Linked DNA regions of Cricetulus griseus. The protein of the gene in region 1 interacts with the protein of each later gene in a pairwise test. Links are inferred from orthologs where the notes say so. Each region holds a gene or a part of one and is shown on either strand. Other genes may lie near its edges. The genes, in order: Tfdp1 and E2f6.

What was found.
Region 2: the proteins of Tfdp1 (region 1) and E2f6 interact in binary tests that used the Homo sapiens proteins (3 or more experiments, as listed by UniProt). The link is inferred for Cricetulus griseus from reciprocal best matches to the Homo sapiens genes TFDP1 and E2F6.

The regions. Positions count from the first base shown.
Region 1 is NW_023276807.1:67,443,269-67,458,743, reverse strand, and holds the start of Tfdp1 (transcription factor Dp-1), read left to right. Parts: upstream 1-5,927; 5' UTR 5,928-6,055; intron 6,056-6,744; 5' UTR 6,745-6,807; coding exon 6,808-6,819; intron 6,820-15,475. UniProt on the Homo sapiens protein: Can stimulate E2F-dependent transcription.
Region 2 is NC_048600.1:26,021,209-26,036,169, reverse strand, and holds the end of E2f6 (transcription factor E2F6), read right to left. Parts: intron 11,716-14,961; coding exon 11,661-11,715; intron 9,691-11,660; exon of another isoform or gene 9,186-9,690; coding exon 8,969-9,185; exon of another isoform or gene 8,914-8,968; intron 7,984-8,913; coding exon 7,828-7,983; intron 6,202-7,827; coding exon 6,087-6,201; intron 3,710-6,086; coding exon 3,562-3,709; intron 2,872-3,561; coding exon 2,828-2,871; 3' UTR 1,509-2,827; downstream 1-1,508. UniProt on the Homo sapiens protein: Inhibitor of E2F-dependent transcription. Binds DNA cooperatively with DP proteins through the E2 recognition site, 5'-TTTC[CG]CGC-3'. Has a preference for the 5'-TTTCCCGC-3' E2F recognition site.

The DNA.
Region 1 (15,475 bases):
CCCACGGTGCTGGTGCCGGTGTGGGTGTAGTCTATCCCCACAGTGTTGGTGCCGGCGTGGGTGTAGTCTATCCCCCACAGTGTTGATGTGGTGTAGTCTATCCCCTACAGTGATGGTGCTGGCGTGGGTGTAGTCTATCCCCCACGGTGTTGGTGCTGGTGTAGGTGTAGTCTATCCCCCACGGTGTTGGCGTGGTTGTATGATGGCCATGTGAGAGTGACAGTGTGGCCTGCCAGGGTTCTTATGTGCAGGTCAGAGGACAACTTTCAGGGTCTGTTCCCTCCTTCCACCGTGTTAGGACAGGGTCTCCCTGGTTGCTTCTGTTGCTCTCACTCTTTCTACCGAGGCAAGCTGGCCTGTGAACTTCTGGGTGATTTTCCTGTCTCTACCCTGTCTCTCTATGGGACTGCTGGGATTACAGACACAAGTCCCTGCATCAGGCTTTTGGAGTTCTGGGGATTGAACTCTTGGAGTCAGGCTTGTTCAGGCAACATTTTTACCCACTAAGCCATATTGCCCACCCCTTTTTCTAGTCTTATTGCACTGTTTAGGACTTCCGATTTATGCTGTAAAGAAGAGGTTGAAGCATAAAATACCCACATTTTTCACATTTTCTGTTTTTGTTTTTTGAGAGACAGGGTTTCTCTGTGTAGCACTGGCTGTCCTGGATCTTTCTTTGTAGACCAGACTGGCCTTGAACTGATAGAAATCTGCCTGTTTCTGCTTCCCAAGTGCTGGGATTAAAGGCCTGTGCCACCACTGCCTGAATCATGTATCCACATTTAAGCAATTATTATCATATTTTATCGAACATTGGAAGATAAATTGTCAGATCATAACACTGTGCCTAATTTCATAACCACTCTCTTCTAAGTTACCCTATGAAAATACCATTGTTATACCTAACAATTCATTCTTTATAGCTTTAAAAGGGGTGCATTGAAATGTATTTAATTAAATAATTGTTATAATAATTAAATTCACTTATGTGTATACTGGGTTTTCCTTTTTTAAAAACTTTGATACAAATCCACATATAAAGCTTATCTTTTTTTTTTTTTTTTGAGACAAGGTGTCTCTACATAGCCCTGGCTGTCCTGGAACTCACAAACTCACAGAGACCTGTCTGCCTCTGCCTGTCAGGTGCTGAGACCAAAGGTATGCACTATCACACCCAGTGGAAGTTTATCATGTTAAGTGTACAATTTACTAGTGTTAATTTACAATGTTTCGTACACATTACTATCATCTGTTCCTAAAACACTGATATCATTGCAAACAGAAACTCTGCAATTACAGGGAGGGACTATACATTTCTTGCTACCAACAGAGCCAGTACTTATTCTGACTTTACCTATGCTAGTAACTCACAAATTTATTCTTTTGTATCTGGCTTATTTTACAGTATAATGTCTTCAAGTTCCACCCATATGGTAGCATATGTCAGAATCCTGTTACTTTATATGGCTGAATATAGTTTATGTGTGCATATGTAGTATTTTGTTTATTCCTTCCTTTGTCAATGACAGGGCTACCTTTGTATATCCAGGATAAATTTCAAATGGTCATTATTACAGGAGCATAAATGACCTCGTAGGGGGCATGGAGGCTTTTGTGCTCACAGACATGCACAGGGGGACCTGGAATGTTAAACAAAAAGGGTTGTTCCTTTTGGGGAAGGAATGCAAAACCTGTTTTATACCCAGAAGGCTAGAGTGGACATGATTTCTAGCCTGGTGACCTTTGCGCAATCAGAATGGCGGAAGACTTTCTGGCACCACGCCCTCCTCCAGACCCTTCTTGTAAACTGGTTTTTCTTAGTCAATCCATGGAACTCATCTTTACGGAATGTATCACATATAGTCAATATATAGATACTATCTTTTTTAGGTAAGGTGTCACATGTGCCTTGCAAAGAGTTCATTGTAGTCACTTCTCTGTATTTAGCTTGTTTTGTTTCTCAAAGAGATTTAGACATGCTTTGTTTTGCACATGGAATTGAGTTAATCATCACAAGAAAAATTTTCACTGAATTGTGCTGTGTTTAAATATGCCCGAACTAAACAACTCAGATTCAGACTCGGCCACTGAGTTGTGTCAAGCTGAACTGTCTCCTAGCCTCCTGTGGCTCATCTCTCTGTTACCCGTGAAGACTGCAGACATCCCCGCATGACCCAAAGACAGCTACATCATCAAAGACCACCTCAGAGACAACTCTTGAAAACTGGAAACCCAGAGCTTATCGCACAATTTGCAGGCATCTCAACAGTTGAAATGTGTATTTTTCTGTAGCTCGGTTGGTTAGTCTCTTCCAGATTGTTGGGGTTGTCTCTCATCACTCCTTTCTGCTTACATAAGCTTGGGGAGGGAAAAACCTAGTGTGTTTGGTTTCAGGGACTTCCTGAAGCTCTTCAATTGTTTACTTCCTGACTTTTTTTTAAGATTCATTTTTTTTTTGTATATGCATGGGTGTTTTGCCTGCATGTATGTATGTGCACCATATGTATGTCTGGTGCCTAGAGGCCAATAGAGGGTGCCAGATCTCCTGGACCTAGAATTACAGATGGTTATAAGCTGCCATGTCCTCTACAAGCACAGCAAGTGCTTTTTAACTTTGGGGCCATCTCTCCAGCCCCTACTTCCTGAGTCATAAGGACCCTTCCTTCAGAACATTAGGGATCTTCCCCACTGGTGGAAATGCTACACAAAAATCCCATTTTGCTCTTTGCCTCCCAGTGGTGAAGAACAGCTCTCCTCGGCTACATTCTTCTTCCCATCATGATATTCTGTACATGTGTTTGGGACCAAATGGCCGAAAACTGAAACTTCTGAAACCAAGCGCCAAAGTACACCTCTCCTTGCTTAAGTTAGTTCTCTCTGGTGTCTTTGTCACAGTGAAGACAATGGTAACTCAGGTACATATTGGAGAGTGTGTCTTCTTTGAAGTCCATTTATTGTAGTGTGTCTTGCTTACTCATCACCCAAGAAACAGGTCTGTTTATCACAGATTAAAAGCAGAAATCAATCCATCTTGACCCTTCCCCCCAGACCACACATTTTGTGCATTCTCTGGTTCCTCTGTTCAGCCTGGTTTCTGCATCCTGTCAATATGGCTTCCCGAGAACACTTTGAGTTCTGTCTGTATCCTCCAGTGAATTGAGTTAATGGCTGTTGTCATGTGAAGTCACTCCATGTAGTTAAGAAACTTGCCCTTGTTAAATATACACAAGAGGCAGGTGCCACTTCCCATCTTAGAGACCAGGATGGTGGTTTTCTTTTGTTTTCCTGTTACCTGGGGGAGGGGAAAAGAGGGGAGGGGAGCCAGAATTGGAGGACTCCTGGCCATTTGAAGGCCTCCATGCATGATTTCAATTCTGGCACGCAGAACCAATGTTAATTAAATGCTTGACAGCTTAAGAAGGTGGGGCTTAGCTGAAGTGGTAGGAGCAGGTGTAGTCAGCATAAAGGTGGTTAATTGTAAAGCCATGCGAAATAGGGGTGTCCAGTAATGACATGTTGCATATGACTGGGGGAGGCCTTTGGTCTGTGCTCCTCAAGACTCTTCATAGATGTTAATTAGCCCAGCACTTGGTACAGCTCTGACCTCTCTATTACTAATCAGCTGGCTGGGGTCATTCTGCTTTACCCAGATCACATGATTGGGCAAGGAGACGATTCTCCAGCTCTAGTAATCCTGGCCCTTACATGCCCAATGTTTATGGGATGGACTGGCAGATCCAGAGGCTTACAACTGTCTCCTGAAAACCAGGGGCCTATCACTCCATGCTTCAGAAGCCAGAGGTTTACGGCTCCAAATACTGAAGTTGGAGGTTAAATATTCTGGAATTTAACCACCAGCAGCCACAACACTGGCAGCTCCTGGAATCCTTAGCTTCCATCGACAGCAATGGCCAGTGTCTGCTAGTGCTGTAACTTTGCATGGGTGCTGGGAACCTCAGCACCTAAGTGACTCCTGTTGCAGTTTTCAACCCTAGAGTAAGACCATTACCCCTCTTCCAGTGTCTGGTACTCTGTTTCTCCTCTCTGCCTCGTCATCACCTTTGTCAGTCCTGGCTCTTGTCTCTGTCTCCTGAGTATGCTGTTGTTCTTGCCCCACTCACTCTCCGGAACTCTTCAGAGTCCCCCTGGTGGCTACTAGTGCTCCATTGGTGCTTATGGCTTATGTCATCATATTACCAGTCTAGCTTATAAAAATAAAAAAAAAAAAACGTGCATGATCACTCCAGAGACGTCTTTATTGGACAAAGGACTTACCCAACCCACTGAAAAAGTGAGCCAAATAGCTTGTTTATATAGTCAGGAATGAGGCGTGGCAAGGATGTTGGCACCAGTCACAGTCCTTCCCTGGGCCACTAGAGGAAATATTCCCCCACATCCCCCAACCCGTGTCCTGGTTGAAAATGGTCACTAGGGTTTACCAAGGCTTGTGATGGAAGGAGTCTGATGCAAGTTATTGAAATAACCATACCTTGAATATTGCCTTCTGGAATCATGGTTTTGCTTTAGCATAAGCAGCTGTGGTTGCAGTATAGCTTCCTCATGGCATCTAAGGAGTGCTCAGAACAGGATAGCGGCCAGGATGGTCCAGTCAGATGCTAAAGAAGGAAGGGCTGTTTGGCTGAGTCCTATGGCCAAGGCAGCTAGGCAACAGAGAAGGATGTGTCAATCTGGGAGTCAAATTGGCCTGTCCCTCAACATCTTAGCTTATTTAAAGGAAAGACAACCATGTAAAGGGTGCTTACACTAAACATCCCGTCACTCACATCCACAGTTCTCTGATAGCATTTAACAGCACTCTACTCTTGAGCCATATATTGTTGGGCAAAGCTGGGTCACTTTACCCAAACCATTTGGACTGATTTGGGAGGCCTAGCCTATTCTCTTCCCAGGCTCTCCAGCTTTAGTCCTAAGGTAGAGGTCTCCAATGTGGACTGTCTTCAGGCCTCAGGGTCTACCAGACCCCTCCTGGGATGAAGCCTACAGACTCTGAAATGACAGGAGCAAACACCCTTTCAGGATGCTTCCTGCCCTGAATCACTGACAACCCAAGTTCAGGCCATGTGGCTGTGGACGTCAATAGCTGAATAGTGGCAGGCTCTCTATGTCTCTGCAGTGTCCAATACGTGTGTGCATCCCAACAGTCTTCACTATGGCCTGTGTAAATGTACAAAACTCCTCTGCTGGGGGTGCACATACAGGTACGTTAAGGCACTCCTACAACTGACCTCTTTTTCCTCATGCGCACATAGCTGGCCCCTCTATTCGTACACACATACCTGTATTCTGTGCAGACATTAAACACAAATATACATAGTTGTATGTACAGGGGGTTTTCTGTATACATGTTCAGGCGTGCACGCCCGACTCATACTCTGCATATGCACGTGTATACAGCTATACTATCTGCATATACACAGGTGTGCCCACGTTACTCTTCTATGTGTACCTGCAGGTATGGCACACACCACAGATCTTTCTCCGTTGGCAGGTATCACACACACACACACACACACACACACACACACACACACACACAGACACACACACAGGCAAACACGTGGCCCTCTATTCCCTGCGCATGCACACAGATATGCATTCAGTTGGCCCTTGGTGTACACACAGAGGCGCGCACACACGTGGCCTCCATGCGCACATGCAGGCGCGCGCAGCACTTTTCAGTGCGGGCGGTCTCCAGCCGAGTCCCGCCGCACGCGCACGCGCGCACAGGCCCCTCCCCTATCCCAGGGCGGGTAGCACCGGCGAGAGGCGCGGGAGATGAGCGGCGGGAGGAGGAGGAGGAGGAGGAGGAGGAGGGCGCCGAAGGCGCGAAAAGGCGCGCAGGCGCGCTGCGCGGAGCGGGCCCGCCGCCGCCCACGTCACCGCGCCGCGCGCACGTCACGCCGGCCCGACGCTCGGCCCAGGGTGAGCCCGCGTCCGGCGCCGCTGGCTCAGGGCAGGGACCGCCAGGGCCGGACCTCCGGGCCGGCGCCCCCGCGCCCCCGTCGTCGCCCCGCGCGCCCCGCCGGCCAGCCAGGTGTGGCGGGGGCGCTGGCCGGCCGAGCGGGAGGGCGCGGGCTGGGCGCGCGGCCCCGTTCCCGCCCCAGCCCGGTTCCCGCGTCCGGCTGCATCCCGCCCGCCACCCAGCCTCAGCCCGGAGTCGGCCTCGACGCGGCGTGGCGTGGGCGGCGGGCAGGGGTCCTGGCCACCCTCCGGCTTTCTCCGCGCCAGCGCGCGGGGCTTGGTGGCCGGGCCTAGTGACAGGTGGGGCGGGCGGCGGGCCGGGAGCCCACCTGTCAGAGTGGTCGGCGGCTCCTTGGGGTCTTGGCAGCTCGAGGGCCTGCTGCGGCCCGGGGTTTGCCACGCAGTGTCGTGCCTAAGCTGGGGGCCTTGTGCCTCGGTGGGGCCTGTGGTCAGACGGGGCCCGCGCGCCCAGGTGGGGTGAGCCTGACGGCTGCGCCTTACTCTGCCAAGGGGTTGGGGTCTGGACCCTCTGCGAGTGGGAGCTGCTGGTGGCCGCAGGGAGCACTTCCATTTGGAGAGGTGACTTAAAATCCCCGTGTGGGACCTGCTTGGCTAGCTCTCCTGTCGGGATTGTGCAAGAAAGGCCCCTGCTGCCTGGAGGCCTGCCTCGTGCTGGTGGGGAGATGTTTCCTTTGAAATGCGATGTCTGTTAAACTTCTTTTTTCATTCTCTCTCATTAATTGTCTCCTTCCTTTTTGCCAGATAAGTCCGGTTTTTTCTGTGGCGGGTACGCAGTTACAGCCTTGATTTCCTGGATCTGGTAACATGGCAAAAGATGTAAGTATGATTGCTTCGTGCTGCAGACATGTTAGCTCACTGCTCCTTGCAGTTTTCTCTATGGCCGTGCGTGCATGGCCGTGGTTTATCCTCACATTTTACACGCAGGAGCTGGGATGGAGGTGAGGGATGGAGAGTCAGTAGGTGGGTGCCTCCCCCCTGCACAAGTGTTCTTTGTCATCTGAAGACTGACACGTTATTTGTGGTTGGATGATGTGGTCTTGATTTTTCCCTTAACCTATCTAGACAGTTTAAATTAAAAAAAAAATTGAATACACCTCTCAATTAAAATGAATGTGTGAGGGGGGTGTTGTGTGTTAGTGGGTTTCCACTCAGGACAGCTGTCAACATGGAACTTAGGCTGTACTTGTTTTATGTAGTACGCAGGACCGTAATTCAACTTTGATGGATTGAATATCAACAACTTGTTTGGGCACATTTTTCTCAGAAAGATGACATCTGGTGATTAATGAAACACGGTGGAAATGCTGGTTGGTTTAGCTTTATATTTATCTTGAAGCTACTGGATATTTTGAATAATTTTTTTTTTTGAAACAGATATGGAGAGTTAGGCTTTTAGGCTGCAAGATATAGTCTCTGTTGTTGGTTACATATATTTTTGCAATATCATCCTAACTCCTTCCAGCACTAATGATCTCCTTTTCAGTGTTCCTCAGCATTCACTGCCCTGTGAATGTTAGATTCCTGTATTTTCTGTGCAGCCTGGGAAATGCAGGCAGACGCGCTACATCATCTAGAGTTGTGCTCAGGTGTAGTGTGGCTGCGTCTATGGTGTGGGGCCAGGTACCGGTGGGTGCTGTGTCCTGTCCACTGACTTGAGGACTCAGCTATGCTTAATGATCCACATGGGTCAGACGGTGCCACTCTCCCTGTCATCAAGCACTTGGCTTGGGCCTGCTCTTTGGAGTTGTGTCACACCCTAGGAGATCTTGTATAGGTCACCTGAAGTCACAACCATATATGATACTGGCTTGATCTTGTTAGGTCCAGTTGTTTATCTACACCCATGTCCCCACTCTTCTCCATATGTATGCCCTAACATGTATGTGTGGGCTCAGCACATGCCCACAAAGTAACTAGATTTGGTAAATGGTTTGTAAATGGGATACTGGCCCCCATGCCTTTGTTAGGTCATGGTACTGGCACGATATTATTGCATTTTCAGTGAGCCAGCATGCTCAGAGTTTTGTCATTTTAGTTTTGCATCATTCACTCCCTTTCCATGTGCTGTGTCCCTGGGGAAAGGGGTGGTGCACTGTGAGGACAGGTGGTCAGGATCTCCCATCACAATGAGAGTCTGAGGCCAGCTGGTTTGGGGTTATCCATTGTGGTGTGGCTGGGCTGGTGCAGTGACTGAGTAACAGGGTGCTGGAGCTGACTCTCATCACCACACATATTCACACGCCACAAGCGTCTTCCCCAGTCAGAGGGGAATCAGAGACTGCAGACAGTCAAGGGTTGGGCCGTTCCTGTAGCCAACCATGTCTTTATATAGGATACGATACTTGTGTTTCAGAGAGGGACATTGTAGTCTGTGCTGAAGGAGAGGAAGTAGGCACCACTGAGTTTTCTAAGCACTTGATACTGGGGATGAAATCTAGCTGTAAAGTATAGCTGGACACCTGTGAGAGCAGAGGGGCTAAAGTCAAGCTCTGGGTCATGGAAGAGGACCAGGAAGGGTAGAGAGAAGACAACAAATAGCTAAGGGGCTTTCTGCCCCAGCAGATGCCCAGGCAGATGGGCAGGTGAGGGTTCCCTGTGAACTGCAGGCTGTGGCACAGGGCTGGCAGTTACCAGTGAACAGGATGGGATGACAGGAGCCGATTATGTTGACCTGGCAAAGGATTTCTCCCATGCAGGACAAGAAAGCTGATGTGGGAAGGCGTGGGAGTGGGCAGGAGAGTGAGGAGTGATGGTGGAAGTGGGGGTGAGTGCCTGCAGGTACTTGGAGATGCCTGCTTGCAGTGCTTTCCTGTAACACTGCAAATTGTCCCTGTGGAAGGCATGTGTATTGAATGAACCATGATGACCCTGCTGTAGGGGCTGGAGAGCCTGGTATGAGGGGGTATGTCTTAGAACATGAATGTCTTCTCCCAAGGTCAGGCTAATACTCACTGCCTGAGGAGTTGTGCTGTCTTACTGGGAAGACTGCATTTTTGGACTTGCCAATCTTCAGAAAGTTTCCACCTCATAGATGTGCCCAGAGGAGCATTTCCCAGATGACTATGAATTTGGTCATATTGACAATGAGGATTAACAATCACAGGTCTATCCCTTGTCAACCCCACACCAAACACATCATTTTAAATCTTAACATTCTATCCTTAGAGGTTCATCTCCTAAGGCAAGAAGCTTTTATACTTCATTGGCATGAGCCTCTACAATCTTGACATTTCTAACATTGTTCAAAACTCTAAATCCCAGGCTGTTGAGATGGCCGGCTTGTCAGACCTGACTACTCGAGTTTGCTCCCTGGGACCTACATGGTAGAAGAGAACTGACTCCCATAATTTGTCCTCTGATCTCCACGTATTTACTGCACCCTCCAATAGTGAAGACTGGACCAGTGCAGGACCAAAATTCAGTAGGACAAATACCAAACCATGCAACTCCATGTATGCTATCTTGGGATTGTGATGGAATCCTCTGGGCTGTGACAGGCTTGGGTCGCTTTGCCCCTTTAGTAACACTGCCGGTAGCACTTGAGGCTCTTTCTTGGGCCTGCTGCATTTTGTGCTTGCAACTTTCCTTGGCAGATGTTCCTTGGTCTGGTCCCGATGTATCTTGTGTCTTGAGGTCTCCGTTGCAACTTAGGCTTTCCCTTTCCAGCGTCATTCAGTGGCCTCTCAGACTATTTGCAAGGACTTCAGCCCTGCCCTCACTTATATTTTGCATGCCTATAAACCATCCCGAGGACAGTGCCAAGTTCTGCTACCAGCTTGAGATAGATGGCCCCTTCTACTATGGCTGCAGTGACCTTCTATGTCTTGGGAAAATACTTCTCTAAGTGGTTGTTTTCATTTGATGGCATTCTCAGTTCAAGCTTTTTCTTTGAAATAAGTTTTCATTTTCTTAAAAAAACAAAACACTATTATTTGTGGGAGAGTGTATATTTGTGCATGTATGTATGTATGTATAGATACATATAACTTTGTAGAATTATTTCTCTTTGCCTCTTCATGTGGGTTCTGGGGGACTGAACTCTGGTTGCCAGACTTGCTTTTACCTGCTGAGCCATCTTGCCATCTGGAGTTGGCGTTTTTTTGTTTGTTTGTTTGTTTGTTTTTTTACCAGTTAGACCTTTCTAGGAGTGAGTCTTGCCCTAAGGATGCTTTTCTTACGTGCTGACTGTGCCACAGCCTGGATGCCATGCTGTCTTGAAATTTCCTCTACCAGACAACTTAATCCATTACTTTTATGTTTGGCTTCACTCTGATTTTAAGGGCATGGCCAGATTGTTTGCTAGAAGGTAACACAAGTGGTCTCTAGCCCAGTTCCCAATAGAATCCTGGTTCCTCTCTGAAACTTCATGAGCCTAGCCTTCAGTGTCCACATTTCCACTGACATTCTGGTCTTTTCAAATGCTCACCAGAATGGACTAGTAATTTTTGCTTATAGCATTCCAGGCATTCTCTATACAACAGGCCTATACAACAGCAATGGCCTATTCCTCAATACCAGTTTTCCGTATTAGTTACTTTTCTCATTATTGTGACAAAAGCAACTTAAGCAAAGGTTTATTTGGCCTATAGTTTGAAGGAACCGTCATGCTGGTGAAGGTGTGCTGGAGGTGCTAAGCTGGCCATGTTGTGTCCGTGGTCAGAATGCAGAAAGATGTACGCAGTTGCCAGCTACTTGCCTTATTCCTTTTAGTCAGTGTGAGGCCCCAGTCCGCATGGTGCCGCTTACATTCAGGGTGCGGCCTCAAGTGAAACCTTGCTGAAAACAGACACCCAGAGTTGTACTCCTACAGCATTCCAAATCTAGTCAACCTAACAGTGACGATGAGCCATCCCTGGTATCCTGCAGACAAATTTCATTATTGTAGCCTTGTTTCCAACCTATCCTTTCTGTCTTTTTAGTGGTGGTTTGACATGTTGTAGAGTTGTAGACAGTTGCTACTGAAGAGGTAAGTTAATATGGGAAAAAACTACAATGTAGTTCAGTGGTAGCTGCCATAGCCTTTATCTACAGATTGAAACCTGCTTTATGAGAGGAGTCCACTTGCTTCAGTTTTCTGCATGCATTGTCCCCAGGATATCCAATTCTGATTTTATGGCTGGATGGAAAACAGAAAGACACTTGGACATGGCAGTCTCCTAGATTTCAAGTGATCTCTTCATAGCAAAGAGAGATGGTGTTGGTGTATAGGGCCAGGTTTTAGCTGCTCAAGTCTGGCGTGTAAAGGTTGTTCAGGAGGGCCTGTTGGCATTAGCATTCTGGGAAGAGGGAGGCTGGAATCTGGAGGTGGAAGAGCCCCTGGCCCTTTTGCCATGAACATATAGATTGCTGGGGGTTCTGTGGTTTCCAGGATCAGTCTTTTTTTTTTTTTTTTTGGTTTTTCAAGACAGGGTTTCTCTGTGGCTTTGGAGGCTGTCCTGGAACTAGCTCTTGTGGACCAGACTGGTCTCGAACTCACAGAGATCCGCCTGCCTCTGTCTCCAGAGTGCTGGGATTAAAGGCATGCGCCACCAATGCCCGGCTCAGGATCAGTCTTAAATGGTTACAAATCCATTGTGACCATGAGGATGAATCCTTGGAGGGTGATTGTGATGTTTGTGCACACCTGTACATGTAGTGTCTCTGAGTTGTCAGATTTGTTCTGGAAAGACGATGGATGCCAGGTGACCACTGTGGATGTCATCAGGCTGTTGGAAAGCACTTATTTTAACTTTCACTCTCCAGAATAGACTTCAGCAGCAATATTTGAAAGTTGCAAAATTGTTTAGCCTTATATAATATAAATAATAAATTGTATCTTGTCAAAAAAATTGTAGGGGGTTAGAGAGCTGGCTCAGTGGTTAAGAGCACCCAGGTTTAAATTCGAGCACCCAAATGACAGTTTAAAACTGTAACTCTGGTTCTAGGGGATCTGACACCATACTAAATGCACATAAAATAAAGTTAAGTAATTTATAAAAGAAAAAAATTAGGAATGAGCTGGGCATGGTGGCATATATCTTTAATTCTAGCACCTGGAAACATAGGCAGGCAGATCTCTGAGTTCAAGGCCAGCCTTTTCTCCATATAGAGTTCTAGATCAACTAGGGCTACATAGAGAGACTCTTATTTCAAAAAACAAAAAGAATTTAGAGGTTAGTATTTTCCTCATTTTTTTTTCCTTTTTTTGGTATCTGTTCTCAGTCCAACCATGTGGGTCCTAGGTATTGAACTCAGGCTCAGAGACAGGTACCTTTACCCACTGGGCCATCTTGCGAGCCCATACCTTGAATTTTAACATCAAATACTGTTGGGTTTTTTTTGTTGTTGTTGTTGTTGTTTCATTTTTACAGCACTGGAGGTTGAATCTAGTATTTTCATTATGCTAGATTATGTCACTAAGCTATATTGTCAGCCCTCTTTTTTTTTTTTTTTTAATATGAGGTAAGTTGCCCTTCCAGTCCTTGAATTCATTCTGCAGTCTTTCTGGCCTTGAACTCACTCACAGTCCTTCTATTTCAGTCTTCTGAGTACTGGGATTATAGGCCTTTGTCATGATGCCTGACTATAGTTGTTGTTCTTTGGTATGACCATTAAGATTTTCTGAGGCTGGAGCTGGAAAGATGGCTTTGTGGTTAAGACTACTTGCTGCTTTTGCAGAGGTCCCAGGTTTGATTCTCAGCAACCACATGGTGGCTCATAGCCATATGTAACTCCACTTCCAGGGATCTGACACCCTCTTCTGACCCCCAGAGGCACCAGGCATGTATATGGTGCACTTATATGTGCAGGCAAAATACTTATACACATAAAAATAAATAAACCCTCCCTCCCTCCCTCCCTCCCTCCCTTCCTCCCTCCTTCCTTCCCTTCCTTCCTTCCTTCCTCCTTCCTTCCCAGTTCTGCCTGTCTTGGAACTTGATATGTATACCAGGCTGGCACAAAATAAATCTTAAAACAGTTTTCTAAGGCCTAGGTTCATTCTAGTGGTTGCATATGATGTAGGGTGGTGACCTGTCAAACCAGTGTGCTGCATCACTTCTGAGTCCTTGGAGGTCTTATTTGTAGACTCTGTTTTGCCTTTTAAGAAAAATCAGTTTTGAGGCAGGCCCTAGGTTCAACTCCCAGTGTTGGGGGGGGTGCAGTTTTTGCTGTCAGGGCTTATTTGTTTGTTTGTTTATTAATTTATTGGTGTTGGGTGTTGAAACCAGGGTCTCATACACCCTGGGAATGTGCTGTATCTCTGAACAGCTCTCTCAGCCCCTAGGATTTGAATTAAAGTTACCTTATTGTGCATGGAAGATGATGAAAAGGGAGAAACTGGGAGTTACTCTTTAGCCTCTGCATGTCTTCATGGCTAGGTTTGGGGTCAGCTTCAAAGTCACACCTATCTCTCTGGTCTGGTATGTTTTTGGGCCAGTCAGTTATTGAAGATGATTATTGCTTTAAAAGATGTTTCAGCAATCTTGCTATTCTTACTTCAGTCACTTGTGTGGCCTAGAAGAGACATTTGCCTCAACATCGCAGAGATGGCCTGAGTGCTGATGCTTGGTTGAACCCTCTGTTTGTGGTACTTGGTGTATTCTTCTGTGCACAGTTGCAGCCTGCAGGTGTAGGACTGAGCTCTTGAGTTCTGCATCTCTAGGTTGGTGCTTCAGAATGCAGTACAAGCTTGCTTTTGGAGAGTGGCAGGGACCGAGGCAGCTCTTGTAGTTGGGCAAGAAAGTGAAGTCCTATGCTGTGGGACAGCCGCTTCCTGATCTGTGAAACCCCACCTGCTCATGCTATTCCTGTGGTAATTGCCTTCTGTGTCCTAGCCATCCACCATTGGTAGTGCTTCATTTTCCCTTTCCAAAGCTGCCCTGTGACACCAGGAAATGGGACATATCAAACCTGGACAGTTAGCTACCTGGCAGCTCTCCCAGGTAGTTGTGTATTTGGGTCTGTTGCGTAATGAAGTATCATTTGGTGTCTTTGGATAGGAGTTAGGTGCCTACAGGAAATTGGTTGAATTTGAGGCTGTAGCAAATTCTATGGCTTATCTATCTGCCTGTCTGGGAAGACCAAATCTCTAGACACAGCACCCTGAATGCACATAATCTTGTCAAGAAGGGCTGTAGCTAGGAGGGAGTGCTGAACCCAGCTATACTCAGGCAGCAGAACTGAAGGTGACTTGGTGAACCCGTGGGAGGAAGAAGATGTGAGCATTGCTGTGCTGTAGGTGAGCCCTTGCTGTGCTGAAGGGGCCATGTCCTGCCAAGCAAGCTGACGAGGGTCTGGCTTAGAGTCTGTGTGAGAGGAGATGAAGGCAGAGACATGCTTGTGAAGAGTAGTGCATGGCTATTTCCTACTCTCTTTTTCTTTTGGTAGAACTAAGAATTGAATGTAGGCCCTCACCCATGTTGGCCAAGTAAGTGCTCTTACCACTGAACATAGCTCCAGCCCTCAGGCTGTGTTCAAGGGCTCTCCTTCGTACATTTTGGATAGTTCTTCCTGTCCCTGATCCTGGCATCTGCCATATATATCTTGTATCTTTTTTTTCTTTATTTTTTAATTTGAATTAGAAACAAGATTGATTTACATGACAATCCCAGTTCCCTTCTCCCTCCCTCCCTCCCCTACCACCCCCCAACTAAAACCCTACCTATCACATACCCTTTCTTCTAATCTACACCTGACTCAACCTTTCTGCTCCCTCATGACCTCTGCATCCTTCCTCTTCTTCCCTTCTCATTCTCGTAGCTCCCCCTTCTTCCCATGTTCTCAATTTGCTCAGGGGTTTGAGACCCTTTCCCCTTCTCCAGGGGACAATGTTTGTCTCTTTTAGGGTCCTCCTTGTTTACTAGTTTCTCTGGCAGTGTGGATTATAGGTTGGTAATCCTTTACTCTATGTCTAAAATCTACATATGAGTGAGTACATATCGTGTTTGTCTTTTTGTGATTGAGTTACCTCGCTCAGAATGGTTTCTTCTAATTCTATCCATTTTCCTGCAAATGTCAAGATTCCATCATCTGCCTCATCTTAACTTCCTTCAGAATTCGTGTGAGTCTCCTCCTCTGGCAACTCTTGATGCCAGTCCATTCCTTTCCCTTCTCCAGACTCTGGAAAGTTCCAATCTTCTTAAATACTTTGAGTTTATCTCCCAGCAGTCAGCTATCCTCATTTAAAGGTTTTAGATTCTTCCCCGAGGACATAGATTCTTGCTTCCCGTGTGGGGTGGGAGCCGCCCTGGGCATTTCCTTAGAGCCCTCCCCATCTGGACCATGGCTTTCAGACCTGTCCAGTTCTTCCTGCTCACTGGACATGCTCACTTCCTGTCTCTAAGCCTATCCCCAGCCTCTCTGGACATTCCTGCCTGCTCTCTAGAAGGTGAGTATCTGTTTCCTTGGACCCTGCGGTCAGTAGTGGATGGCTTAGCCTCTTCCTCATGTTTCCACACCTCACCAGATCTTGCTGTGCGGGGATCCCTGTCCT
Region 2 (14,961 bases), on another chromosome or scaffold:
AGTTCCAGGACAGCCAGGGCTACACAAAGAAATTGTCTTGAAAAATTAAAAAGAAAATCCAGGCCATGTTATTTCCTAGCAGTATCTACTCAGGTAAAAGAAAATACTGCCTGAATAATTAGTTCCTCACTAGATGGCAATCACCACCACACATTCTTGAGTTGGATTCCATTCATACTACCCAAGGGCAAATAGATCCAGTCACATGTTACTGAATGACCACTATTTCAACCCTGTTGTTGATCAGAACCAACTGACAACAGTTCTAGGTCTGACGAGGATATTCTGACTGGATTATCCTTTACTCTGGGCTGCAGAAAGCTGCTGTCCACTCATATATTAGTCCCCACAATGGGTTAGATTATACTGCAGCTAAATATTTGACAAATTCCATGCCTTGTGAGGACTGGCAGGATCTGTTCCATGAAGTTGTTCAAGGTCAATTGTGGCTCTTTCTGTCTGTTGGATGCATGGTCTGCAACCTGTAACTACCTCATAGTCAGCTGTCTGAAACTATTTGCAGACTCTCCTAGTCCTTGGGAGGGGAGAACCAGAGCTCGCTAACTGTTATAATCAGCATTACATCCTGTATATATCCCTCCCCTCTTAGGAGCAGAACTTCTGGTTGTTAGTGGGGCACATGTGCCCACCTAGAGACTTTATTCTAAGTCTGTGGTTAAGAAGTGGTCAATGCTCTCTGGAGATATGGCTCAGCGGTTAAGAACACATGGTTGCTCTTCCAGGGGTCCCGAGTTCAATTCCCAGCAACTACATGATGGCTTACAACCATCCGCAATGAAATCTGGTGTTCTCTTCTGGACTGAAGGCATACATGCAAGCATAACACTGTATATATAATAAATAAATCTTAAAAAAAAAAAAGTGGTCAATGCACCAGATGAGCTCCTTCCCTCTCCTGGTTTTTATACATGAACCACCTGCCAGTGCACTTTACAAGCTCAGCTCTTCCCAGGGCCTTGATCTCTACACACACTTGCCAGAACTTTCCCTCCCATCAAAAGTATAACTGTTACCCACTTGGCTATTCTTCTTGGGTTCCCTGTCTTGTCAAATCATTCCACTAAGTAGTCCAATGAGGAAACAGAATAGCTTCTAAGCCAGTGGTTCTCAACCTGTGGGTCACCACCCCTTTGGGGGCATTGAACAATCCTCACAGGGTCACCTAAGACCATCGGAAAACAGATATTTACATTGTATTTCATCACAGTAGCAAAATTAGTTATGAAGTAGCAATGGAAATAAGTTTATGGTTGGGAGGCCGCCACAACATGAGGAACTGTGTAAAAGGGTGGCAGTGTTAGGAAGGTTGTGCTAAATCCTTTCTTTGGCTAATTAAAAAAACAAACAAACAAACAAAAAAACCAAAACCCTTTTATACATAAGAAAGGAAGGGGTGTCTGGAGGCCAAACATACTGATTACCAGTAGTTTCTAGGAATCTTGAAATATACCAGCAGAGACTGTGTGAATCAAAAGTACCAGGCCGTATTATTTTTAATACTTTAATTTTGGATTCCCTACTTTAATTTTTATTTTTTTTTGTACACATGGTCATTATTTCAAGTTGCTTCAAATCTTTTGTAAAACAAGAGAGGTTTAACATACCAATGATGTTCCCCAGACTCCTGTCCAACAATAAGCCCGGTTCCATCGGCCCCATGTTGCACTCACCCACGCGCTAGTTCGATAGACATTGATTGGGCACTTATTATGGACTAGGTGTGGTGCGAGGTGCTGAGCGTGACTACGAAAAGGTTTCTCATGGAGCTCACAGTCTAGTGGTAAACAGAGGCACAGAGAGGTAAATGACTTATCCACTGAGGTAGAAACAGCTAGGTGCTTGGGAAGGCTGGGTGAGAGCATGAGGGTGGGCAGGGTATGATGCATGGGAGCTAAGACCCTCTGACAGAGCAGCGCGGCTGCACACAGAAACACATTATAAAATCTGCTTGCACAAAGCGTTGACAATGCTTTTACTTTCACCAGGACCAAACTCACGGTGTGGCGAACTGATCCGTTGCCAGAGGGCATTTCTATACTTGTCCCCAACACCTTGAGGCACACCACCAATCTACTGGGAAGTAGTGACTCTGTAGGCAGCTTAAAATCAAGAAGTATCCAACTCCTATTGTAGCATTGGGAACTGTATTAAAATACTTTAAGTATGTGAACCTAAATATACAGCATTGTCTGTGAAATGTCTACATGTAAAACTTTAGAAAACTCCCCTCACCCCCATCCAGAGGGTTCTAATAAGTTATTGATGCTGAAGAAGTAGAGAGCTGTCATTTTCTCTATATACATTATTTTGGCTGATCTAGGGCAGAAGTGTCACTCAGACATATTTCATAAGCAATCTAAACATGATACAGATATGTACAAAGGCGCCACATTTGGTCCTGTGTGTACACCTCACCAGTGCACTACACCTAACCGTGAATGTGAGCCAGTGTAAGGCAATTCTTCTGAGAAGCAAAAACACCATCCATCAGGGAAGGGCAGAGTCCACGACCATGGCCAACTGTCTGTTCTCCTGATATCCTCTGTGATAAAATCATCTCAGGAGGGAAGAGGTCCGTCTCACTGACAAAAGGCAGCGAAGAATTAGCAATAGCTAATTTTGAACGTGGAAACCATCCAGGGACCTAAGCAGGAAGCTACTCAGGGACACTACTGGCCTTCACGCTGCTACGAATCTAGAGTAAGAGAACGAGACCACGCCACGAAGACTTATTGCTGAGGATCAAACTGGTACATAATTCATCCACGCAGGAGGCTCCAAAAACCTTCACCACTTGGCATTGCTGTCAGTCGCTCACTTTGAGTGGCTCTGACTGAGGAGACTTGTCTTCTGAAACGAAACATACAAAGAAACTGAGTGAAGGCTGGAACAGCAGCCAGGTACAGGATTCAACAATTTCAAGAAACGAAGTCGTCTGGTCAAGAACCTTCTCTCGCACCAGTGGTCGGAATGATCTTTTTAGGCTCACAGAACAAATGAGAACTCCAATCCAGTGTTGGAAAGCACCTATCAGACAGCACTGACAGCTTCCTCTGGCCAGAGTGTACCAGCTGGTGCCCCAACACAATTGACTTTCATGCTCTTAGTCATAGAATTTTTGGAGGCAGGCTCTCACTGTGTAGCTGAGGCCGACCTGCAATATGGATCTATCTGCTTTAGCTTCCTCGGGCTGATGTTATAGGAGTACACTGACACACTCAGCTCAGAGGCTGGAGAGGGCTCAGCGGTGAAGAGCTCTACTGCTCGTCCCCAAAACCAGGGTTCCTTTCTAGCAACCATGCTTGCTGGCTCACAAGTGCCTGTAATTCCAGCTCCAGGGGATCCAATGCCTCTGAGGGCACCTATATTCATGTGCATGCACCCACACATGCACACACACACACTCACACACACACATACACACACGTGCACAATTAGAAATAAACACAAATCATAAAAAACCTTGAAGCTGTGTATTTAAGTTACATCTAAGATGCTGGAACCCTAATGCTCCTCGGATCACAAAATGGGCGTGTTTACCTTTCGAGGGGCATTCTGGGTGTCTGTTTTTAGATGGAGAGGCCCCTACCCCATCGGCTGTTTTACCACTTGAGTGGGTCTGTTCAACTTCACACAGATACACGTCAATGGGTCCTTTGGTACTTCGGATATGAACTGTGATAGAATCCTAGCAAGAGACACACAGACTGCCAACGTGAACATGCGCATCAATTAACTGCAGTTTTTCAATTAACTTAAATTCTTGTAGCTTCCTTTCTACCGTGCATTTGAGATAAACATGTTCTCAACTGTCACTGCACTCTAAACTACTGGCCAATTTACAGTGAAGACCTCTACTTAATCATTCCAGTAGCAACGGTCTTGGAGGTACAGAATGGACAGCTGAGGTCTTGGAAACCCCTCCCCCTTCTCCTCCTCTGGCAGCAGGGAGTTCTGGAGTACCCAACCGTATTCGTACACGGTGTTTCCAAACCAGTGTAGAGGTACTGAGGTCACAGGAAGGCTAGTTTTTTTGTCCAGTGAAAAGATGGAAGAGGAAAAGATGAGATCAAAACATGCCTCATGGAATTTGAAATGTCATACACAAAGAGAAACACTAGATTAAATGACTATTATCCTCTGGCTTCAGTTCTATTTACCCAGGAGCAAATTCCAATGGTTTTCCCATAAGAAATTAAAAATGTGGTTGCTTGTATTTAGAGACTAAATATGTAAGGGGCATTTGCAGTTATGGTTCCTTGTCTTTCCCATTGGGAACTGGCCCAGAGCTCCTCAAGTGCACCCTTTCCACATCCACATGGATAGGCCAGTCTAGATGTCACCGTCGCTCCAGCTCTTTTGCTCTCTGGGATCTCATCCAAACAAGCTGGCTGACAGCTTGTCAGACAGGTGAGATAGGCCAACCACCTTCATGCTCGGAGGCTGCAATGCCAGGGCAGGTTTAAATGGAAACCTTTTAACATCAAATAATTCAAGAAAACAATGTTGCTCCTGACTGGCAGTCAGCAGAAAAGACTTCAAACTCCACCAGCCACTAAGTCACTCTGTAAAGAGGAACCCTGAGGAACTAAGAGATGGCTCACAGGTTCAGGGTGTGCTCTCCTCCTGTGGAGGATCAGCATTCGGATGCTAGCACCTATGTCAGGGTGACCACAACCACCCGGAACTCCAGCTCCAGGGTCCAACGCCAGCCAAGGCCTCCAGGGGGCATTTGCACTGAGGTGCACATACCCATTCACATACACAGAAGTTTTCAAAAAAATTTTAAAAGGAGGACAGAGGAGATGGTACCTGTTTCTGACTTTTCAGGCCACGCTGTGCCACAACTACTTGACTCTGCCATGGTGGCATGAAAGCCAATGGGTGATATCTAAACAGATGGCCTTGCTCCAACAAAACAATTTACAAGAACAAGTAGGAAGCTAGAACGAGTTGAAGGCCACTATGCCAGCTCTGTACTAAGCACACAATCCCCACTAGAGCCACACATAGTCAGTCTACTGATCGAGGACACTGCTGAGAACAACCAGCCTGGAGGACCTCAATTGCAGAGCTCTGAATGGGACCGAGAGAGGCTCTGTGTGTGTTCAACAGTTCAGAGTGATTTAGCAATTCCGGGCAAGCAGCTCAGAGCACTGGGAGATCAAACCCTGCTAATTCCTGTAGGACGGATTACCATGCTCCAAAGAAAAGCTGTCCTGCAAGAATAGTGGCTAAAGAGTTTCAGAGTCTGCAGAATAACTAACTCATCCTAAATATGTTACTTGGACACTTGTCTAAATCCAAATCAAACTAGGGAATGTCACCAGGGTACAATCTGAACAGGATCGAGGGAAAAGTGGTGCTCCTTCATGACTGATGATACACTGTCAGGTGACAGGGTTTTATGTGAACTGCTGGGGACAAAAGAAAGGAAGGCAGTGGGAATAATCTTTGCCATCACGACAGTGATATGATGGCTGGTGATGAGCAGCATGGGAGCTACCCGGCTGGCTGTCAGAATGCCTAGAAGGGCCACCAGCTTTGCTTTGGACTCCATCCTCATCAAGGGACCTTCTGGTGACAATGACTCTCAACACAAACCTTCCTGGAGCAGTTGGCAGCAGATAGGAAGACTGGCCTTACACAGAGGTTCTATATCTGTGACTCGGTGGTCTAGCTCACTCTTAGTCTTTGGTGAGTTGGTAGCAAGCTAGCTCCCCGGAGCTCTGGCCATACCAGCTATTACTTTTGGAACTTGAAGACCAAGGCAAAGCCAATGAAGCAATTTCTTTTGTAGTCGGACAGCAGCAGCATGGCTGCAAGCCAAACTCTGCCCTATGCCTGGTCCTGCTGGTCACCGTGTGGGCTCCTGAAGCACACCTGCTTCTGTGTGCTTGGCTCTCTCCTCTCTGAGAAGGTTACAAGGACTGCCTCACTCATGGTTAAGCTAACAGGTACATAGCTTGGCAAGGGCATAGGACACAAGTGACTGCAGTGGTCACGGACTTGGCAGCTAACCCACGCCCCTCTTTAAATCCTTCCTGTAGTGAAGCACTACCTACTTCTCTGGGAGCTGGGACGTCCAGTCTGGTTTCCTCTGGAGCTTTCACAGCAATAACAATCTGCTCATGGAAGGCTTGGATGCTGTGGATATCCTGATAGGTTACGTATGCTAGTGTGAAACCTGGTCAAGGATCTGACAAAACTGACATGTCATCACCCCCAACCCTGCCCCTGGTTTTTTTTTTTTTTTTTGAGGCAAAGTCTCATTATGTAAGAGTGCTGGGAAAAAGGCTTATGCCACCAAGCCTGGCAAGATCACTATCTCTTACATGAATGCAGGTACAAGAATAGCTTAGCTTTTATGGGATACAAACCTATAATGAAGAGAAACAGAAAAAAAACCAAAACTTCAGGGTAATTATTACTTCAAAAAGAATTCTTAAGATTTTATGGTGTTTTATAATATTTGTAACAAAGAACTCTTTTAAACCAAATACTGACTGGAGCAATTTTTGGAGAAAGAGATTAATAAAGCCCCCAAAACTGAACATAAACACAACTCACAAAGATAACTATCTCCTGTCCTTGGAGTGGAGTGAGGTGGTGGGTGGATATCCCAAATCCCCAGTAGATGCCCAAAGTCATGGACCAATACCAAACCCTATGTATAGCACGTATTTCCCTACACATACACTTCTGAAGTGTGGTTGAATTTATACACTGGGCAAAGTAAGAAATCAATAATAATAAGGGAGTATAACTATAGCATATAGCATACTGAAAGTTATTACTTCTAGAATTTTCATGTGATATTTTTTAGATCATACCTGATTGTGGGCAACAGAAATTACAGAAAGCAAAACCACAAACAAGGGGAAAGCACTATGCTCAAATCCCCACCTATGCTATATTCAGTGTGAATTCTCATTCACTATTAAGAGTTTAGTGTTGGCTCTTACTATGGGAACCTGAGAAAAAAGCATTCACGATTTGGATAAAAATACTCCAGAAGGCAGGAAAAGAAAAAAAAAGTCCATAAAGCAGGAAGAACCCACAGAGGAAGCTTTCAGCGCGATCATGCACCTGTGATCTCCTTCTAAGCACATTTCTGTCACCGAACGCCTTTCAACTCTTTCTACGATGTTGCCAGATACTTTACATTCACTCGGTCCAGTTGCTCTGGCTTTCTTCCTTTTAGACTACAGACTCTCCGGTTAGCTGGCACAGCGAGCCTTGGCTTTGATTTTCTAAGCTCTGTCCTGTAGTAATAGGATTTGACTGCCATGGAGAGTGGAGGGAGCAGGAATTACTGACACTCACAGAGGGCACAGAAAACTGTAGACAGCAGAACAGTGGCGGGGGAGGGGAGGTACCAAGGACCAGGTTCTCCCAGTTCCTGCTCTACAGGCTTCCTGCATGGACTGATAAGCAAAGACACTACTGCAGTGGCTAGTTCACAAATTGGGGAAAGCCTGATTTCTACAAAAGCTGACAAACATTTTACCATTCAGGAAAGAGATTACAAAAAATAAAACACAAACAAACAAACAAAACACTCCTTAATTTTAACATGCAAGGGCAAACTGGGTATGTCACTGCCAACCATTGTCATGCAGACTTGACCCAGGAGCACAGAGAGGCTACAATTAACACGGATTGCTCTTGTGTGTTCGAGGCTACAGTACTTTTAAGGGCCTAATTTTATATCTAGGCATGAAACTTAATCGCCCAATCTCTCCCTAAGACATTATCTACTCTGGAAGCAGAAGTTCTTCTACACAGGTATGGGTGGAAGGATATCTTTCATTCTCTTTGTCGTCCGTTAACTCCAATAGCTGCTGGGCACAATCTTTAATCAACTCGTCCAAGGCGTCTTCCATCGCCGACAGGTCCGAGAGCTCGGCCTGCAGCTTCTTCTGTTGTGGTGCCGCTCCGAAGTTGTTCAGGTCGGATCCTCTGCAGATGAAAACAGACACGAGGTCAGCAGCTGCCAGGAGAGGAGCAAAGCTGTCTGTGGAGGGAGAGCAGGCTAAGTGGGAGCATCTGCATTTCCTTTTACACCATCTGTGTGGTTATGCCCGTCCTTTCTTTTCTTGGGACAGTTTCTCTAGGTAGCCTTGACTGGCTTTGAGCAAAGATAGCCACCTGCCTCTGCCTCCCGAGTGCTGGGATTAAGGTTCGGAATGACTGATACAGTACCCTGAAGGAGAACGTTCTCATCAGAGTTGCCTGTATTTTGTTCTAAAACAGTGTCCTTCAAGAAGCCCTTTCCTCTACCATTCATTTAGTCACTGATCATCTTTGGGTTTTACTACCTATTGTATTTCTCATTTACTCCCATGCTGGAATTCTTTTTCCTAAGTACACAGCTTTTTTTTTTTTTTTTTTTTTCCTGTGCATACACTCTCTGTCTGTGTCTTATCTTCAGGCTTTCTTTCTACGAGACCCTTCCCAATCATGTCAACTCTTTAGCAACTGCCTTTTGAGCATGAAGTGTGTTTTTACACTCAGGGTGGTGTGTCATCTCACCAGCACCGCAGTCATGCAGTAGACATGCTGACATCTGCTCTGCTCCAGAAAGAGTCAGGAGGGACTGGGTTCCTGGCTGAGTACTATATGGCCTCGTGGGAATCATGTCTTCCGTTATTAATTCACACTAAGGAAATACACTTAAAAATAATCCCCTTTTTAAAATCCCATGTTTCATTCTTATGATCTTATAGGGATAATTAATTAATTAATTAACCACCTTATTCCATTTAACTTTACACACCATCTGAATGTTTACACTTAGACCTCAGTAGTCCCATACATTTAAGTACACTGAGATAACAAGAAAACCTTATGGAATCTTTGCCTAAAAGACCTCATTTTCTATTCCCAAAGGCTGCTGCTGCTGGACAGACGTTAATGAAAAGGGTAAGGACAGACATAAACTCACATCCATCGAATGTGGTTCTTGGACTTCTTTTCCACCAGCTCGATGCCATCCAAAACGTTGGTGATGTCATACACGCGCCGTTTCCGAACTCCCAGTTTTGTGGCAACCTTGTTTAGATCGAGAATGCCCCCAGGGGCAGATCTGACAAGATCCATAAACTTTCGAGTTAAGTACACCAGCGACACATCAAAACGGGGCCTCTTCACTTTCAAAGCTTCTGCAAAGGAGAGCACAGTGCCACATGAGCCGACATTTCTTGGACAGCCGCTTATTCCCTAAGGATCGGAGCAGACAGCCATGGAAACCCCTGCTGGTTTCTATGGAAACATTTCTCTAACTGGATGAAAGGCAAATGGTCAGCTGGTCTGAGCAAAGGCATCAGGTTTCAATAAAGGCTGGTGAGTTTCCACTAATAACCATTTTTTACAAGTCCACATCCCTCCAAGAAATTTCTGTAACCATCGCTGAACTACTTCTCAGAAAGAGGATTAGAAATGATTTTGAAATCAGATGCCTTCATTTCACACATAATCTGCCAACACACATCTGGACGTCAATATCTAGTTTTTGTTCATTCTTCTTTGGTGTGTTAAGGAATGAGCCTGGCTTCACAGAGGCCAGGCAAGCACCTTACCACTGAGCAACATCCTTCACTCAGATGTATAGTTTTTTCTGTTAATTTTAAAAAATATTTACTTATTAAAAATATCTACTATATCTTATGTACTTACTCTCTGCTCATATGTATAGTTTTAATATTAAAAATATTTACTTATTGGGGCTGGAGGGATGGCTCAGAGGTTAAGAGCACTGGCTGCTCTTCCAGAGGTCCTGAGTTCAATTCCCAGCAACCGCATGATGGCTCACAACCATCTGTTATGAGATATGGTGCCCTCTTCTGGTGTGCAGATATACATGGAAGCAGAATGTTGTATACATAACAAATAAATAAAGTCTTTAAAAAATATTTATCTTATGTGTATGAGTGCTTTGCCTGCATGTGTGTGTACCAAGTGTGTGTCTATTGCCCACTAAGATCAGAAAAGGGCATGGGATCCCCTGGAACTGGAGTTGCAGTGGTTGTGAGCCACTGTGTAGGTGTTGGGGTCCTCTGGAAGAGCAATACGCTCTTTTAACTACTAAGCCATCTCTCCAGGCACTTAAACGTATAGCTTTTAAAAGCAAAATAGGAAAATAGCATTCTGCAATATGCTCTTTCAATATCGTGATCATGATGTATGAACAAATTTATTTCATTCATTATTCCTTTTTGTTGTTTTTTAAGACAGGGTTTCTCTGTGTAGCCCTGGCTGTCTTGAAACTTGCTCTGTAGACCAGGCTGGCCTCGAACTCAGAGATCTGCCTTTGCCTCCTGAGTGTTGGGATCAAAGGTGTGCACACTGTGTCCAGGTGTGCTACATTACTCTAAATGGCTGCATATTTAAGTGCATGGAGAAGTGCTGAGCTATCCCAGGGCTTGGGAACATGATATCGGATGATGCTCACAAGACATGCCAGACTTCATTATTCTCATTTTATACTCACTCACTGGCTAGACATTTATTGGGTACATTTTGTCCTATTAGTGTAAGCTGAGCACATTCCCAGGATGTCAGCCACTTTATAAAGAACAAAACTAATTGAACATCTCTAACAAGGGCTGCTGTGGGGACAGCTCCCCAAGCAAGAGCACTGCATGGGCCTGATAAGGAGCTCTGCCATAAACAGTGGTATGTTGAATGGTATTCAAAGTCACTGGAGAACATGGTGTGCCATCTTTACTGGAGTGAAGAACTGGGGATACTCCTACAGGAGGATGCTGGGAGCAGCACAGAAAGATGAAGCCTAGTGCTCCCCACTCCAAGGAGGGACAAAGCAGCATCTGAGAACTAGGCACACACCAGGCTAGAGGGTAAGAGGCATGAGAGCCCTGACTGGGCTTGGGAGAGCCAGACTGGCAGCTGGAGACAGCAGTCCACTCAGACAGGATGAAGCTATATGTATGGTACCAGACGCCAACTTTGGGTGGGCTGCTTAACCTTTCTGGGTCTCAGCCTACTCATGCATGATGGATGACAATCCACGGCTGTATTTTGAAGCTTGGTCACTCATGCAGAGATGTCATTGTCAGCTAGTGTGGGACAGTTGAAAGAAACACCTCAAGAGTCAAGCTGACCTAACTTGCTGACCGGCCACAGGGGAGATGGTGGCAGATGCTGAAGGAAACAAAAGACGGTTTGTAGGATCTACATCTCGGCATCTGTAAATGAAAGGAGTGCCCGTGATAAGAACCAAATCAAGAGGAAGTCAATGAAGGGGACATCGATCACAAAGATCATCCGATACCCTAAACATGAATTGGTGACAGAGTAAAACCAGGAAGAGTGAAGGGGCCACAGAGAACCATGTGGACACAAGCCTATGGTGACATGTACAGTACTGCCACTGCACTGTGGGAGGGGTAAAGATGCCACTCCTCCCACCTACCTTAATTTCAACCACCAGGGTACCCTTCACTGTCACTTTAGTTCTGTTTTGTGACCTTATGAACCCTCAAAAACAACCATGTTGCCAGGCTACAGAGAAAAACCCTATCTCAAAAAACAAAATAAAAAACCAACCAGACAAACTAACCATGTTGACTGTGTGACATTCAAACTATAAACCCAAACCTACTTAGGAGTCAACTTACTTCTCATGGACACATACTGCACATTTTCTTCTAGATTGATCCTTATTTTTGATGGCTGGAAAAAAGAAAACATAAACTTAGCATTTTACAAACAGCAATGCAAATGAATTAATTTTGTTCTATGATACAATTATCCATCCCCCCCACCCCCATCCCCAGACAGAGTTTCTCTGTGTAACAGCCCTGGTTGCCCCAGATCTTGCTTTGTAGACCAGGCTGGCCTCAAACTCAGAGATCCGCCTGCCTCTGCCTCCTGAGTGCTGGGATTAAAGGCGTGCGCCACCATGCCTGGCCATGATACAGTTTTGTTTTGTTTTGTTTTAAGGCCTTTTTTCCACCTGAAGTCATGAGGGCAAGAAAAAAGGAGTCTTTCAAACTGCATCTGGGAGGGGTAAAGATGCCACTCCTCTCACCTACCTCAATTTCAACCACCAGGGTACCCTTCGCTGTCTCTTTAGTTCTATTCTGTGACCTTATGAACCCTCAAAAACAACCATGTTGCCAGGCTACAGAGAGAAACCCTATCTCTAAGGACCCACCCAGACTAGGCCTCTCAGGCTGCACATATTTCAGTGTGAATAAAGGAAGGATGGTGGAAGACAGGACACTTAAGTGGGAAACAATTCCTGACAGCAGCAGGCGCTGGGGAGAAGATGGTAAAGACAGATGGTTAGGACCTAAAAGGCTCAGACAGGTGGACTCTGTGATACACCAGCCAAGGCTCACCCCCCTAGCCCCACCATTTAAGTGGCCCCCAAAATATGCTGTCAGCCCCATTAATGAACAATCAGAAGCCTTTAAAAAATAACAAGCAGTACAAGTTATGAATACAGAGATAAAAATATAGTTAATTCCGAAAACAACCAGGCAAACCGGTGGCGGTCCTAGTGTCAGTCTCCCCTTTCTGCCAGGTACTCGGAGACTACTGAAGCTTCATAAACTGGAACGATGATCTGCAATACATTGAGGACTTGTTTTTGCTCCCTGCCTGAGGACATGCTATGGCCATGTGGGAGTGGCCCAGTTTTGTAGCTGGAAAGATGACCAACCTCATCAAGACCATGCTGAAGTCTTGTTTTAACCAGCAGAGACCCACCAAAGACTTCTGGACAAGACCACAACACAATCTTGCTCATGGTCTAGAACTGTGGCACAGATGGGACAACAAGCTGGCTAAAGGGTCAGGGGTGGGACAGCCAGAGGCCAGGTGGGCAACAGAGAAGCAGCTCATATCAGAGTTATAGAGCCTCTGCAGATGATTCTTGTCACCTCTGACAAGATGACAACATCTGGTAGCAGGTTAACTTGAGATGACATCATGCCACAAAACCAGTTTAGGACAGTCTAGGATTGAAATGGGCAGGTGGCCTGTTGGGTGTGCAACCCCAAAGTTGGACACTTCTCCCATGGGTGGGGACCAGCTCTCAACACTGCTGGCAGTGGCATCCAACATCAGAACTCTGAAGCAGGCCCTGTGAAAGCCGACCACAGATGAGTGTGACCAACTGTCACTGCTATTTTTACACGTGACTGTTCTCCAAACACAGGATGAGACAGGGGCTGGCTACTGGAACAAGGGATCTGTTTTCCTCTTACATTTATGTATCTTGTGTGTGGATGTGTCAGGCTGTACATGTGGAGGTCAGAGGATAACTTTGTGGAGTTAGTCAGTTCTCTCCTTCCACCATATGGTTCTCTGGGCTTGAATTTGTGCTGTCAAGCTTGGCAGGAAGTGCCATAACCTTGGCAGGAAGTGCTATCTTGCTGGCCTGCAAGGCTTTTGGAGAAAGGGTCCCACATAGCCCAGGCTAGCCTCAAAACTCAACCTGTCCCTAAAGATGGCTTTGAATTTGTGATTCTCCTGCCTTCATCTCTTGAGTGCTAGGACTGCTGATCTGTACCCCAATGCCTGTTTATTTGGTCCTGGGGCTTGAACTGGGGTTCCATACATGCTAAGTAAACAGTTTGCTAACTGAGCCTCGAATCCCAGCCTCCTCACACTGATATACTGATGTGAAAAGCGTATCAACAAGTATGCAGAAGTGTTAATAGCACTCATCACTGCCTGCTGCAGAAGGTTCCTTTCCTAACCTAGACTGGTGGGGCCAAGCTCTGCACAGACAGCTTCCCTATTGGCTGCCCATTTGCTTTAGAGGGGAGGCAGTTCTGCCTCCACAGGTTGGTACAGGGACAGCACTGCAATGAGACATAAGGAAGGATGTCCTCCCCCTACCCGAACTCTGCCTGCAGTGACAAAGGAAACAGGTCCCAATCCCATCATTTGTTTTCTTCCTGTGCATGAAATTCCTCCTTTTTCTGAAACAGTTTCTTGCTATCATGCCCTGGCTATACTAGAACTCCCTATGTAACTCAGGCTGCTTTTAAACATGCCATCCCCCTGCTTCAGCCTCCTGAAGGGCTAGAAGCACATGAGTGTGCTGCTCACCATGCCTGGCTAACACTCCGTGGAGCTACCGACCCATTTTGCTGCTACACGAACCGAGGGCAGATACCCCTCCCCTCCCCAAGTGAATACTTCTAGAGACTTCAGGGCTTCCAAAGAACACTCAGCAGTGATGAGTGAGTTACACACTGACATGTTCTAAGCTGCTTCCCTGCTGCTCCATCCCCACGTTTAGAAGCCCCCGTGTCTACATCTGGGAGCACACAGGGCAACATTACCATCCCCTGGCCCCATTCCCTTTATATCTACAGCTTTTATGTGGTTTTGGAATCTACTCGGTTTGGAGGGTTGGGGTAAGGACAGGACAGGATCTCAGTGTACAGCCCTGTCTGGCCTGGAACTTGTTATGTAGCCCAGGTAGGCCTTTAATTTACCATCCTTCGGCCTCTGCCTCCCAAGGACTGGCATTACAGAGCAGGGCCACCACGCCTGGCTGTAAGTTTTAAAGGTGGGGGAGAAAAGTGACATGTAGAAACTCATGTCCTAGGCCCTGTCTCCAAAATGGTTAATTGTCTCTATGCAGGGTTTCTCTGTACCAGCTCCCTGCGTGGGAGCAATACTCCTTCAGGAGCTCAGAGAACATAGATCTCTCCAAGGTGACTGTGTTCACGTCACCCATCCAGATCTTCCTTATCTTCTAACACACAAAACAACTTCACCTCCACCCAGTGTTATTTTCTCCCTGTTCCAAAGCCCAGACCAGGCTTAAGCCATTTATCCTGGCAACTAACACCCAGCAAGACATGTAACTGCTCTGCACAATGGCTTATTAAATTCTGGCAGTTTTTAAAGTCAATTTAAAATGACTGACATGTTAAGTCACTATTTTATAGGCAA